Drosophila melanogaster: one gene and its partner. The protein of the gene in region 2 purifies or fractionates together with the protein of the main gene of each other region. This does not show direct contact. Each region holds a gene or a part of one and is shown on either strand. Other genes may lie near its edges. The genes, in order: CG31200 and rdhB.

Region 1 (3,780 bases), 1.6 Mb from region 2:
GTTTTCCCACCTTCCGGGCCAGTTCGGAGCAGCATGACTCCTTGCAGGCCTGCAACTTTCGGAAGCGAAGCTCGGACTCCTCGCCGTGCCCGTTGGCTTGCTGCTGCTCCGTCTGGGTGTCGCTGGAGTCGCCGCCTCCGAAGTGGTGCGCCGCATTGTGGCTGCCCGGTGCGCTCGTTGGTGTGTCCGCCGGGATGATGACCACCTCATTGGGGTCCTGTTGGCTCGACGATATCGAGTCTTGGTGGGTTATTTGCGGATTGCTCGAGGTGAGCACGTTGCTGAACCCGCAGCTGCCCGCTGCTCCGCTGCCACTGCCGCCGTTTTGGGCAGACGAACCGGGGGCCACTGCCGTGCTGCTGCTGGCTCCCGCCCCGCCGGTGCTATTGTTGCTGTACGGTCCATTCGTCGAGGAGTCGCCGGTGACCACCACGGAAGGAGTGCGCACTCTTTTCGGATTGAAAATAGCTGGAATTTCGCCGTCGCGCGTCATGCTATCATCATTACCGAGCTCCTCTGTCGCTCATAGTGATCCGGTCCTGCAAAATCAATAAATCATAAATACCAGAATCTAGCAAGCTTATTCTTTATGTATATTTTTGGCCTTAATATCACCTTCCATACCTAAATGTATGCCTTCACTTTTGAACGCAGAGTAAACTTAAGGTTGAAACTGGACTTGATGTACTTTTTAAAGGAAGCAATAGTCCTCGGCCCGCGGCCTAATAAATGATTCAGTTCGATTCGACCAGCCATGTTCCAGCACTGCTGCAAAGGCTAAGCAGTCTCGAATCAGGCTGTTCACGTGCTTCCAGCGATTAAAGATTGAGGAACACGCAAATGGGGGGCCATTTCTCGACTCTTTACAAGTGAAAGGCGCACCCAAAGCCCACGCAGCTTGTTCAGGGTCCGAGCAATTTGCATGGGCCCCACTTTTTACCACTGCCCTCATCCCAGGATATAGCGTTGGCCAAACTCAAGGCTAGGGCAGCCAAGTTTTACGAGCACCGCCGCACAACCAGCCAACCAACCAACCAACCAAACAGCCTGCCAGCCGGCCGTTCATTAAAGTCCAGACCCGACCAGGAGCACATTGATTGGATGGCCACAAAGGCGAGGGACGGGCTCATAACAATGCGAATTATGAACGCCCCAGCTCAAGCAGGTCAAGTTGAGTGGACAATAAACTGCCAACCGGATCTCGCCGGCAATTTGTAAGCGTTCTTAGTAGAGTGTTAAGTCCAGCCCCCCACCACCACTACTACCACCAGGCCGGATGAGTTACAATGTCCTTCGGTGTCCTTCACCTTCGCATCCCATCGAGCAGCTTGTGCGCTTGCCTTCGATAATCGTATTCTAATTGAAACATTAATTATTCAACCTAGTTGAGGCTCCTAGCAGGCTCCCAGGGTAAGAGGGCGCGAGGGGAGATTCCAAGAGTCTAATGGCTATATAATGAAGGTCCTAATAATTGCCTGTAATTTTAAGCGGTTAAGAATAATATTCCATCGATTTCCAAGCAGTCGAGCAAAACCAAAATGATTTGAAATCCGCAACTCTGGCATTTTGCACAATTATTTTAATATGCCTAATATGGGACTATATACAGCCGATATGCCGTCTATTTGAGTTAATAAAATATTTTAATTTAATTTATGATTGGGGAACTCCAATACTAGTTGTAAGTTGAAGGTGAGTTAGGTCTGTGAGCAAATTTTGTTGGCTAAGAAGTGGCATATCTTCATATCTTAATATCTTTAATATGACTTCAAAGAAAGTAGTCAGACTAAGGAAGATTCAAAAAGATTAAGGTTTACCAAAAATGCTTGATAGTCACACTGAGAATCTTAATAATAAACAACGAGAGAGCGGGAGATTGTTAATTAATTATTCACAGCAAAAGGAAACTGCGCTCTACGCGATCTCATACTATTCAATTCAATTCTGTTCGATTAGTTAACTCTGAGCACTTGAGCACATCGTCATAAAAATGCTTCACAGCGGAAAACTTGTTCAGCTTTTGACTCTGGCTTGGCTAGGCGGTTAGTAAAATTGAAACAGTTGTATGTTTACTACGAGTATTTATTAAAAACGCTATATACGTTTTCAGCATTGACGATGGCAGAATTTCGATGCGGTCGTCTGGATGAAAAGCTATTGTACACCACCAACGAGCAGGCGGAACCCTCCGAGAATCCCTGGGTGGGCATTCTGCTGGAGGATCAGGGTCAGTTAACTTTAGAAGTGTTAACTATGAAAAGCCCCCTTCTAAAGCCCCAAGTTAATAATTAATAACATGACCTATGCTTTTGCTAATGCCCTTTGTGTCCACCTTCGATGATTTTCTAGGAAATCGGTACGAGAATACAAGGTGCTCCGTAGTTATTATTAACGAGCTGCACATCCTCAGTACTGCGACGTGCGTAAAGCGCTTTAGCCAACGATCCGGAGACACCAAAGCCGTGGCAATGTTGGGCGTTTGGGACGAGACTGACTCCCCGGAGGAGGAGCTGTCGTGCAACGACAAGGACTTCTGTGTGCCGGGGCCTGAGCTGTACAAGGTGGTGGAGATCAAGGTCCATCCGCAAACGGACAAGGACACGGGGGACAACGACTTGGCCATCCTTCGGCTGGAAAAACCAGTCGAGTGGACCAACTGGGTTCAGCCGATCTGCTTGGAGGGCACTTCGGAACCGGAAACGCTGACCAATCGCAACCTGCACTACACCGGATTCAACCATATGGCCTCGGAGAAGGGCAAGGGGTTGGCCATGACAGTATCTACTCAAAAGTGCAAACAATTGACATCCTCCAGCGTCCTAGTACCGGTGAACCAGCTGTGCGGCTATCCCGTGAAGAGGACCAAGTTCTATCCGGGAGCACCACTGATGGACATCGATGTGCGAGATGAGAAGCCGCACAACTTCTACCTGGTGGGCATTCTGGTCCGGAACGTAGATGCCGGACAGGCTACCACTCAAGTCTATCAGAATGTCCGACGCGCCCGCTCCTGGATAATGGAAAATTTGAAGTAGAAAGTACAACTTGTTATGTGAATACTCAATAAACTATTCAACATGAGGAAGTAAAATGTTGTGGGTTCAGTGAAATAACTGATGCATCGTGACGGGAACTGCCCAGGGATTCGCATCGGAAACGGGTTTTCGATCGGTAGCCGTAATGTAATCTTACACCATTAATTAGATACGTAGAATAACAGGTAGTTGGAAGAGTTAGTTGAAAATTTTAACAAACATTACACGGAAAGAAATCAACTCATTCTTGGAGAAGGGAAATGTGCTGATCAAATAGTATTAGTAACACTAATAGTAATATTTAAAATCTTAAAATATTTTATATAAAGGTTTCGAAATACACTTCACTATTGATTTCATATATATTTTAAAAAATTGTAAAAACAATTGTATTTTCGTTCTAGTGTTCCTGCTAAGCTCTATCGATCATAAGCTTCTGGGTAAATCCCCTGAGCAACATGCATTGTCTGTTTTTCCAGCTCCCAGTCAGTTGACTTTGAGCTGCGCTTCAGAATGCTTGGTAGAATCGCAGTTTTATTATTGCTCGTCGGTCTTTTTGGCCCGGAAGTTCGGTCGGCGAAAGTGAATGATGACCAGTGCGGTGCATTCGACGAAGATCAGATGCTCAATATGCAAAGCACCTTCGCCATTCCCACGGAGCACCAGTGGGTGGCCCGGATAGTGTATGGCAAGGGTAAGAATCTCTGAGCTGCTCAGTTAATCCGAAATACAACTTCGTTTAATA
Region 2 (7,171 bases):
GTACTTTAAACGCATTTTAACGTGGCCATTGTTTCCATATACAACTGTGCTATACGTTTTTTATTCGGTTTAAAAGCCCACATGGCGGATGAGCGATATGCGTATAGTAAAAACGTAAGCGCTAATTGCCAAAAATGCTGGTAAATGCAATTTAAGTTTCGCCTCCGACAAATGTTATTGCAATTGAAAAAGGAATAAGACCGGATGCAGTGGATGGAAAGTCCGTCGAGGCCATGAAAAATGCATATTTGGGTTTAACCGAAAAATAAACAGGTCCAGAGGGCGGGGGCTAGTACTGCGGGGGGGGGGGGTGTAGCAGGTCAGGCTACACATGTTTGCACAGAAAACTCTTTTCCACACCCCCAAAATCGTTGGTTGGTTTTTTGCATGCCACGGGGCGCTGAGCCGAAAAGTATGCAACAATAAATTCTGCCACGACGGGAGCTTTTCATTTATTTGAAACACCCGCCCGGAAAAACCACTTCCTCGCACTCTATTTTAGCAGTACCCAACTACGGTGTACAAGTTGGCCAAAAAAGGAAATCAAATCGGGTAAGCTGTTGCCAAACTAAAAACAGTTTGTGCGCCAATTTTCTATCAATTTTCATTGGCACTATCAGATGGAAACACTTTAAAAAAATGTTTGTTATTGGGATTATATGTTATATTAGATTTCTAGATACTTGGCCTGCGCTTTCTTTCTTTCATCTAGATCTTGATTCTTTTAAATCGATTTTTTATAAAGAAATTAGGACAACGAAAAAAGAATGTACTCTTTTTCAAGTGAAGAAAGTGCACTTAAAGTGCCAAGAAAGTATTTGCATTGTACTTTTGAATGCACCCCAAAACGCCTGGCACTTTGATGACTCCATAGACAAGACTGCAGCATCTCGTTCTGGCCACTTTCGGTTTATGGCCCATAAATTCCGTCGCCTTGCCGGGCTGATTCCCCAGCTGCATTGCAATTGATTTGCATGGCTTGGGCGGCTGTTAGTTAACAGCCAGCACAACTGTACGAGATAAATGCTAGGGAATTTATGGCCGGCCAATCGAAACAATTGCCTGACTTCTGGCCGATTGCAGCCATTGAGCCACAAAGGACTCATTCTCCTGCACCTGCATTTTATGGCTGTCAACTGCAACGTATACAAGCTCCTGTCCCGCACCACAAATCCAGTCTAAGTGCATTTTTTGGTTGCATCTACAGTTGAGACTGACATGCAAATACTTTCCACTAGCTGAGATAAAGTTGATTTTTGATTTGCCAGCAGAGTCACTGAGCCATAGTCAAGAAGCCAGCCAAGTGGCATTTTCCCCCCCACATCCACATTCACTTCCCATTTGACCAAGCTGTTGTTTGGTAATTACAAAAATACGATAAGGCTCCGAGCAGCTCGTTCAACTGGAAAGCGAATTCGAATGGCCGGGCGAATATTCATGGCCTGCTGATGAATCTATCAAAATATAATGGAATATGTTATGCCAGATTATCGATAATGCATATTTTCGTGTTTGTCGATTCGGCGATTGATTGCTGGACAGAATGGTTGCTAATATTTGATAAGCAAAAACGGAATAAGAATTGCATATGAATATTAAGTGAGATGCTAATTTCACAGGCTTAAATGTATTAAGCTAGATACATTTTAATTTGTAAAGTGTTTTTCAAAGCTTACAAAATTTCCCTTTTCATTTCTAACGCAATGTTCCCTAAGAAATAAATAACTACACAGGCTAAAATCATAACAAATTCCTAAATAAATATTCAAACCTCATTGATAAAATCGCAAGAATAAAACACTTTCATAAATAAAACAACTACGTGTTAAGAGTATACAAAGATCCGAGTGTTGGAAAAAAAGAAGCTTTTCCACTGTTGCCAAGCCATTTTCCACCCACTCCAAGTGCTCGGTTTTGTGAATAGAAATATGAAAATAATCCTCAAGTGTCAGCCCGAGAGATTAGTGACAACAAACCAAAGCCGCACAGCGAAATGAGATTTTTCATTTGGTATCAAATATCCGCTAAAACCGACCAGCAAAAACCCAAGCAGACAAAAGAAAATGCATAAAAAAAGATAGCTTAAACTAGAAGTGAAATGCAAACGAGTGCAATGCTCCATGAATGAGAAAAGGGAAAGGGAAAAGCGGAGGCTGAGGCACAAAGTGCAACTAGGCAAATGCAAACTACAAACTACAGTCGCACAATGCAAGTACGAACAGTACGACAGCCAGTAAATTGCAATCAATTAAATCCGACTTCAGCCAGAGCGACGCGTGCCCCATGATCCAAGCCCAATGGTAAAAGACGCCGACGATAAAAATAAAGAACACTCTTTAAAAGCCTATATACTAAATTAATGTTTCCTTAATTCTTAAAGCCTTGTGAGAGATGTTTGGCTTAAACAATAAGATATGTTTATCTACATCACAAAATTTCTAGTGTCTTGAAATAAAAAAAATATACTTTGAAGGACCCTAATACTTTCTCAATTTCCTCTATAAACCCAGCTTTGATATAATCCTATACTTTAACTATTAAATAATATGTAGAGTGCACGGCATTTACTATGTTTCCATATTAACAAGACCCACTGTGCCACTGTGTTGCAGCTGTGATAGACGTTTCAGTGATCGCCTTCAGCTTCCAACATCAGTTGTCACTGGCAATCGAAGCCATAAGGTTATCTTTGCTTAAACAACATCTTGTCTCTTCAGATTTAACACATCTCTGATCATGGAAAATAATTTCTACTGGCGCAACAAGGTGGCGGTTGTCACTGGAGCCTCCGTGGGCATTGGAGCTACCACAGCTATAGAACTGGCCAATGCCGGAATGGTAGTTGTGGGCCTAGCTCGTCGAGTGGAACTCATTGAGGTGCAGACCAATACTAATTAATATACATCCATAGAATACATTTTATGAGACTTCAAACAGGCACTCAGGGATCAAGTGACCGGCGTTGGAAAGATTTTTGCCCGGCAATGTGACCTCAATGATGAAGAGCAGTTGGCCAGTGCTTTTAACTGGATTCGTGAAAAATTCCAGGCCATTCATGTGCTCATCTGCAACGCTGGCATCCTGAAGGCCAACTTCCTGAGCGGTAAGTGCAGCGTAAAGAATCTGAACTGCCGAGACTACATTCCTCAGTTCAGAATCCCCCACCAAGGACATCAAGGAACTGTTCGACACGAATGTGGTGGCCACCGCCAGCTGCCTGCGGGAGGCACTGAAACACATGGCTGCGGTCAAGGTTCGCGGTCACATTGTGGTCATGAACAGGTGAGTGTCCACCATGGCCAAAAGTATATACCGCAGGGCTGGAATGTCCTCTTGAATTTCAAAAGGTTAAATGAAAGAAATATTTTATATATTTCCTATTAAGTATTTCTCAATAAGCATGCAATATTTCTGCTGTCACTTAAGCCTTATACCAAACTTGGGTAAAGTTCAATGACCATTTTGCTTTCCTTTCTGCTTGCAACACTTTGACAGCTCGACTTAATGTTCCTTAATTAAAGCCAATTCCGTAGAAAGTGTTCGTTGCCAACTAAAAGGAGGGAGGCATCAATTGAAAGCTATACTTGAAAGGATTGTCTATTGACTCGAGACAATTAGATAGAGCTACAAAATTAGCACAACTGCAAAACACACACACACACACAGAGGCACAATTGGCTGTTCGGGGGTAATTGTTATCATTTCGGGAGCGCTGTTTACCCAGCTGAAATAGGAAAATTGGGCTTAAATCGAAATTAGTGCAGAGCCGGACAAAGGCAGTGTGCATACATACAGCGATGGAGTTGGAGGTAAATCATTTTCGTACATATTTGCTTTATAGTTTTGCTTGTGCTGGGCAAACAACTGACCAAAAGCTGCTGCCTTGAGTGGCAAAATATTTGCCAAATTATGTCCTGTAGGCTCCATGGTGTTGGGTGGCGGAGTGGCGGATAGTGGGTTGTGTTGGATGGTGGTGGGTGGCTCAAGGGCGGGCTTAGACGAAGGGTTCAGCCGATCGGGGCTTAATGAAAGTGCAAACAATGCAGGCGGTCAGTCAATAGCCGTGTCGCTCAGAGTTGGTCAGCTCAATGCATTTTGCATACGAAAGGCATGCGCTCAAAAGCGAAGGGCTCGAAGTGGTCGCCGCGTTATTTAAATTAAATTAAAAGCCATGCGGCAAACAAACAAGCACAACAGCACAAACACTTATTGATATTTAAATGCTGAGCGCGGTGGGGGCACGCATCGTGTTTTTGCGGTGCGGGTGGTGCATTAAAAGCTTTGCATGGCCAATGTGTTTGCCCAGAACAACAGCAACAACAACTCAATTATTCAACATAATTAAGTATTTTGCATTAAGCCGAATGCGTATTGCATTCGCATTTGCATTTTGCATTCCTCCATTGGCAGTCGTCGATGTGATTTTTATTATTTCATGGAATCCAATGCGTACCGCATTTAAAATCCGCATGTTTGATTTGCGCTATGGCTTTAATTTCAAATTGCATTGATTTAATTTTAATGAAATTTACTTGAGTGCATACGCACACCCACCCAACCAGATAGCAATTATTGCCCATGAGCAAAAGGCAAAATTGAATAATTGCGTATACGCACTGTGGGTGGGCTGACCGGCTTGTTGTGCATGCGTGAGTGTCTCTGTGTGTGTGTATGTTTGGTTTTTTCATGGCTGTAAAATCAGTAAGCATGCGGAAATGTTAAGGCAAATTCAACAAAGCCAACGTCAATCTTATTTATTGATTGGCTTTTAGTTTACGCAAAGATGGCAATTCGATTCGAACAGAAATCTGTGTGCGCAAAATAGATTGCAAGCTCAAAATTGGATTAATATAATGCCTTGAAACGATTTCAGTGACGCTTTATCTTGGTCAAAAATGTTGAAATGTTCATTTAACTATTTTGAAGTAGAGATTCTTGTTAGCTTTGTAGTTCTTCTTTTATTTAGCTGTGTAAGAACATGATATGTAGACTTACCATAGGGAAACCTTAACGAACCATTTTAATATGCTCTCGAGTAACCTCCACATTCCTACCACTTTTTACCACGCAATCGGAAAGTGCATCATCGAAGTGCATTAAAGACACACCGTAAATACGCATTTCCCGGAATTTTCATACGCATTTTTCCGGCATAATGAGCAGCGGACACAAGCGTATTGTCCGCAATCGAATACAATTGAGCAATGCGGACAGGCAAGGAAAGCGGGAAAGGGCAGTGGAAACTGAGACTTCGAACTTTGCAAACGTTAATTAATGAGAAAATGTATTTATTTGGCGGCGTTGCGAGTCAAAGAGAATTCCGTTCTGGAAACGTAGCCGAGGCGTTGCTAATGAGCATGTGACGTTTCGGGGGGCCTGTGTCTGTGTGTGTGTCAAGGGGCTTGACAGGTGGGCAGTGGAAGTTGGGCGGTCGTCCATATGCATTTCGCTTAATGTCAGTGCAATAATATTAAGACTTAATTAATTAAAAACTGCAAGGGTATGCCGGCCGCCCAGCATCTGCAGCAACGTTGGCAATTGTTTGCATTTAATGCCCCCGGCTCAGAGCCGTAAGTACCACCCCGTGCTCTTCCAAATGCACTCGAAAAAAAGGATACTCGAATGAATGCCTTCATAAAAATATCAGTTTAATTAAATTAAATATCTTGTAGCAAATATAAAAACTAGTTGTAACTTATAATTCCCTTATTTTTCCAAAAATTTCGCATTCAATCAAAATATTATAGCACAAGTTTTTAAGTCTTTTCTTGCTTTTTCGTCAGGTGTGGGGGTAAAATTAAAAGAAGTTTACGCAATGTTTGCATAAAATGCACGCAAAAATGTCCCGTCAGCTGCTGACCATCATTTTCCGTAGGTGTTCGACGGCGACTTGTTTTTTGTTGCCGTTTTAAGTGCTTGAAATCCGTTGTGTTGACTTTATTTACCCACGCACACCCGCCGTTTGTGACCCCGCTTTGTCTTTATTTTCCATCCCCGACGCACCGCCATACCTTGGCATGTGGACGATGCTCATGCTACTCCTCCGCCTCCTCCTTCGCTCTGCTCTGGACATGTGTATGGACAACATTTGACAACAGCGTGCTTGGCCATCGGATTCCGGAAGTGCCGGTGCCCTTATTCAGCGTTTATCCGGCCACGAAGCATGCAATTACGGCCCTCTGCCAAACGGTGCGCCAGGAAATACATTTTCTCAAATTAAATATTAAATTAACGGTAAGTTAAATGCAGTGCATACATGGCGCGCCTCATCCTCCATCTTAATCCTCGGGAAATGCGGCAAACATGACGCGTCTGCTCATTGGTTACCCTCTCCATTTTTATCCCTCCATTGCAGAGCATTTGCCCGGGCATGGTAGACACGGATTTCCTTAGTGTTTACTCGCAGGCGGTAGCCGAGCTGCCCAAACTGCAGGCAAGGGATGTGGCCAAGGCCGTGTTGTATGCGCTGAACACTCCCGATGGCGTCCAGGTGGAGGACATCATCCTGCAGCAGATGCGGAAGGTCGATTGAATTTTAGTTTGAATTTCAAGAGAATTACATTTTACCCAAAACGATATTATTTGTACATTTTGTATATGTTCTTCTATGTAATAAGAGAACAAATGTACATATTTTTAAATATAAAAAATTACATTATTGCATTTCAAGCAACTGTTTCGACACTTTATATTCTTTAAGATGTTATCTGTAGATAACATCTGTATTAACATCTTATTACAAATAACATAAAAATGCAATAAAACGATAATTAAACATTTATAATATTTTGCATATTCTCTAATCGATATAACATTAAATGCGTGTAAATAGTTTGGCAACATTATGAATGCATTTATACATTCATTCATTTGAATTGGAATTGCCCGCGCATGTAGTGGAGTTGCCACCTTGCGGTAGGGCTGCCAGATTGAGTCAAAAGACCAGGGCTGTACAGCTATCGCTAGCGAGTACAACAACCACTCTTGATTTGGCTCGCTTCGCTCTAGCAGAGTTATCCACCAAAACATCGATTACTCGTGCTACCCCCAAAATCGATGGTACGAAACAAACATCGATATTTCACAGCTTTCGCTTATTGGTCACACTGGGGCTTATGATTAAAAAAAACTGAACTGACTCCAATAAAAACGTGAGGTAGAAAAAGCGAAT

Evidence for each region.
Region 1: the proteins of rdhB (region 2) and CG31200 purify together in Drosophila melanogaster (affinity purification with mass spectrometry, with the first as the bait; one large-scale study listed by BioGRID). This does not show direct contact.

Annotation. Positions count from the first base shown.
Region 1 is NT_033777.3:20,743,534-20,747,313, reverse strand, and holds CG31200 (uncharacterized protein), read left to right. Parts: upstream 1-1,975; 5' UTR 1,976-1,990; coding exon 1,991-2,042; intron 2,043-2,110; coding exon 2,111-2,227; intron 2,228-2,349; coding exon 2,350-3,035; 3' UTR 3,036-3,080; downstream 3,081-3,780. Other genes in the region: CG42322 (uncharacterized protein), read right to left, coding at 11-493; CG31199 (uncharacterized protein), read left to right, coding at 3,549-3,729.
Region 2 is NT_033777.3:22,349,594-22,356,764, forward strand, and holds rdhB (retinol dehydrogenase B), read left to right. Parts: upstream 1-2,102; 5' UTR 2,103-2,300; intron 2,301-2,651; exon of another isoform or gene 2,652-2,717; 5' UTR 2,718-2,736; coding exon 2,737-2,877; intron 2,878-2,937; coding exon 2,938-3,103; intron 3,104-3,155; coding exon 3,156-3,282; intron 3,283-6,098; coding exon 6,099-6,234; intron 6,235-6,355; coding exon 6,356-6,532; 3' UTR 6,533-6,671; downstream 6,672-7,171.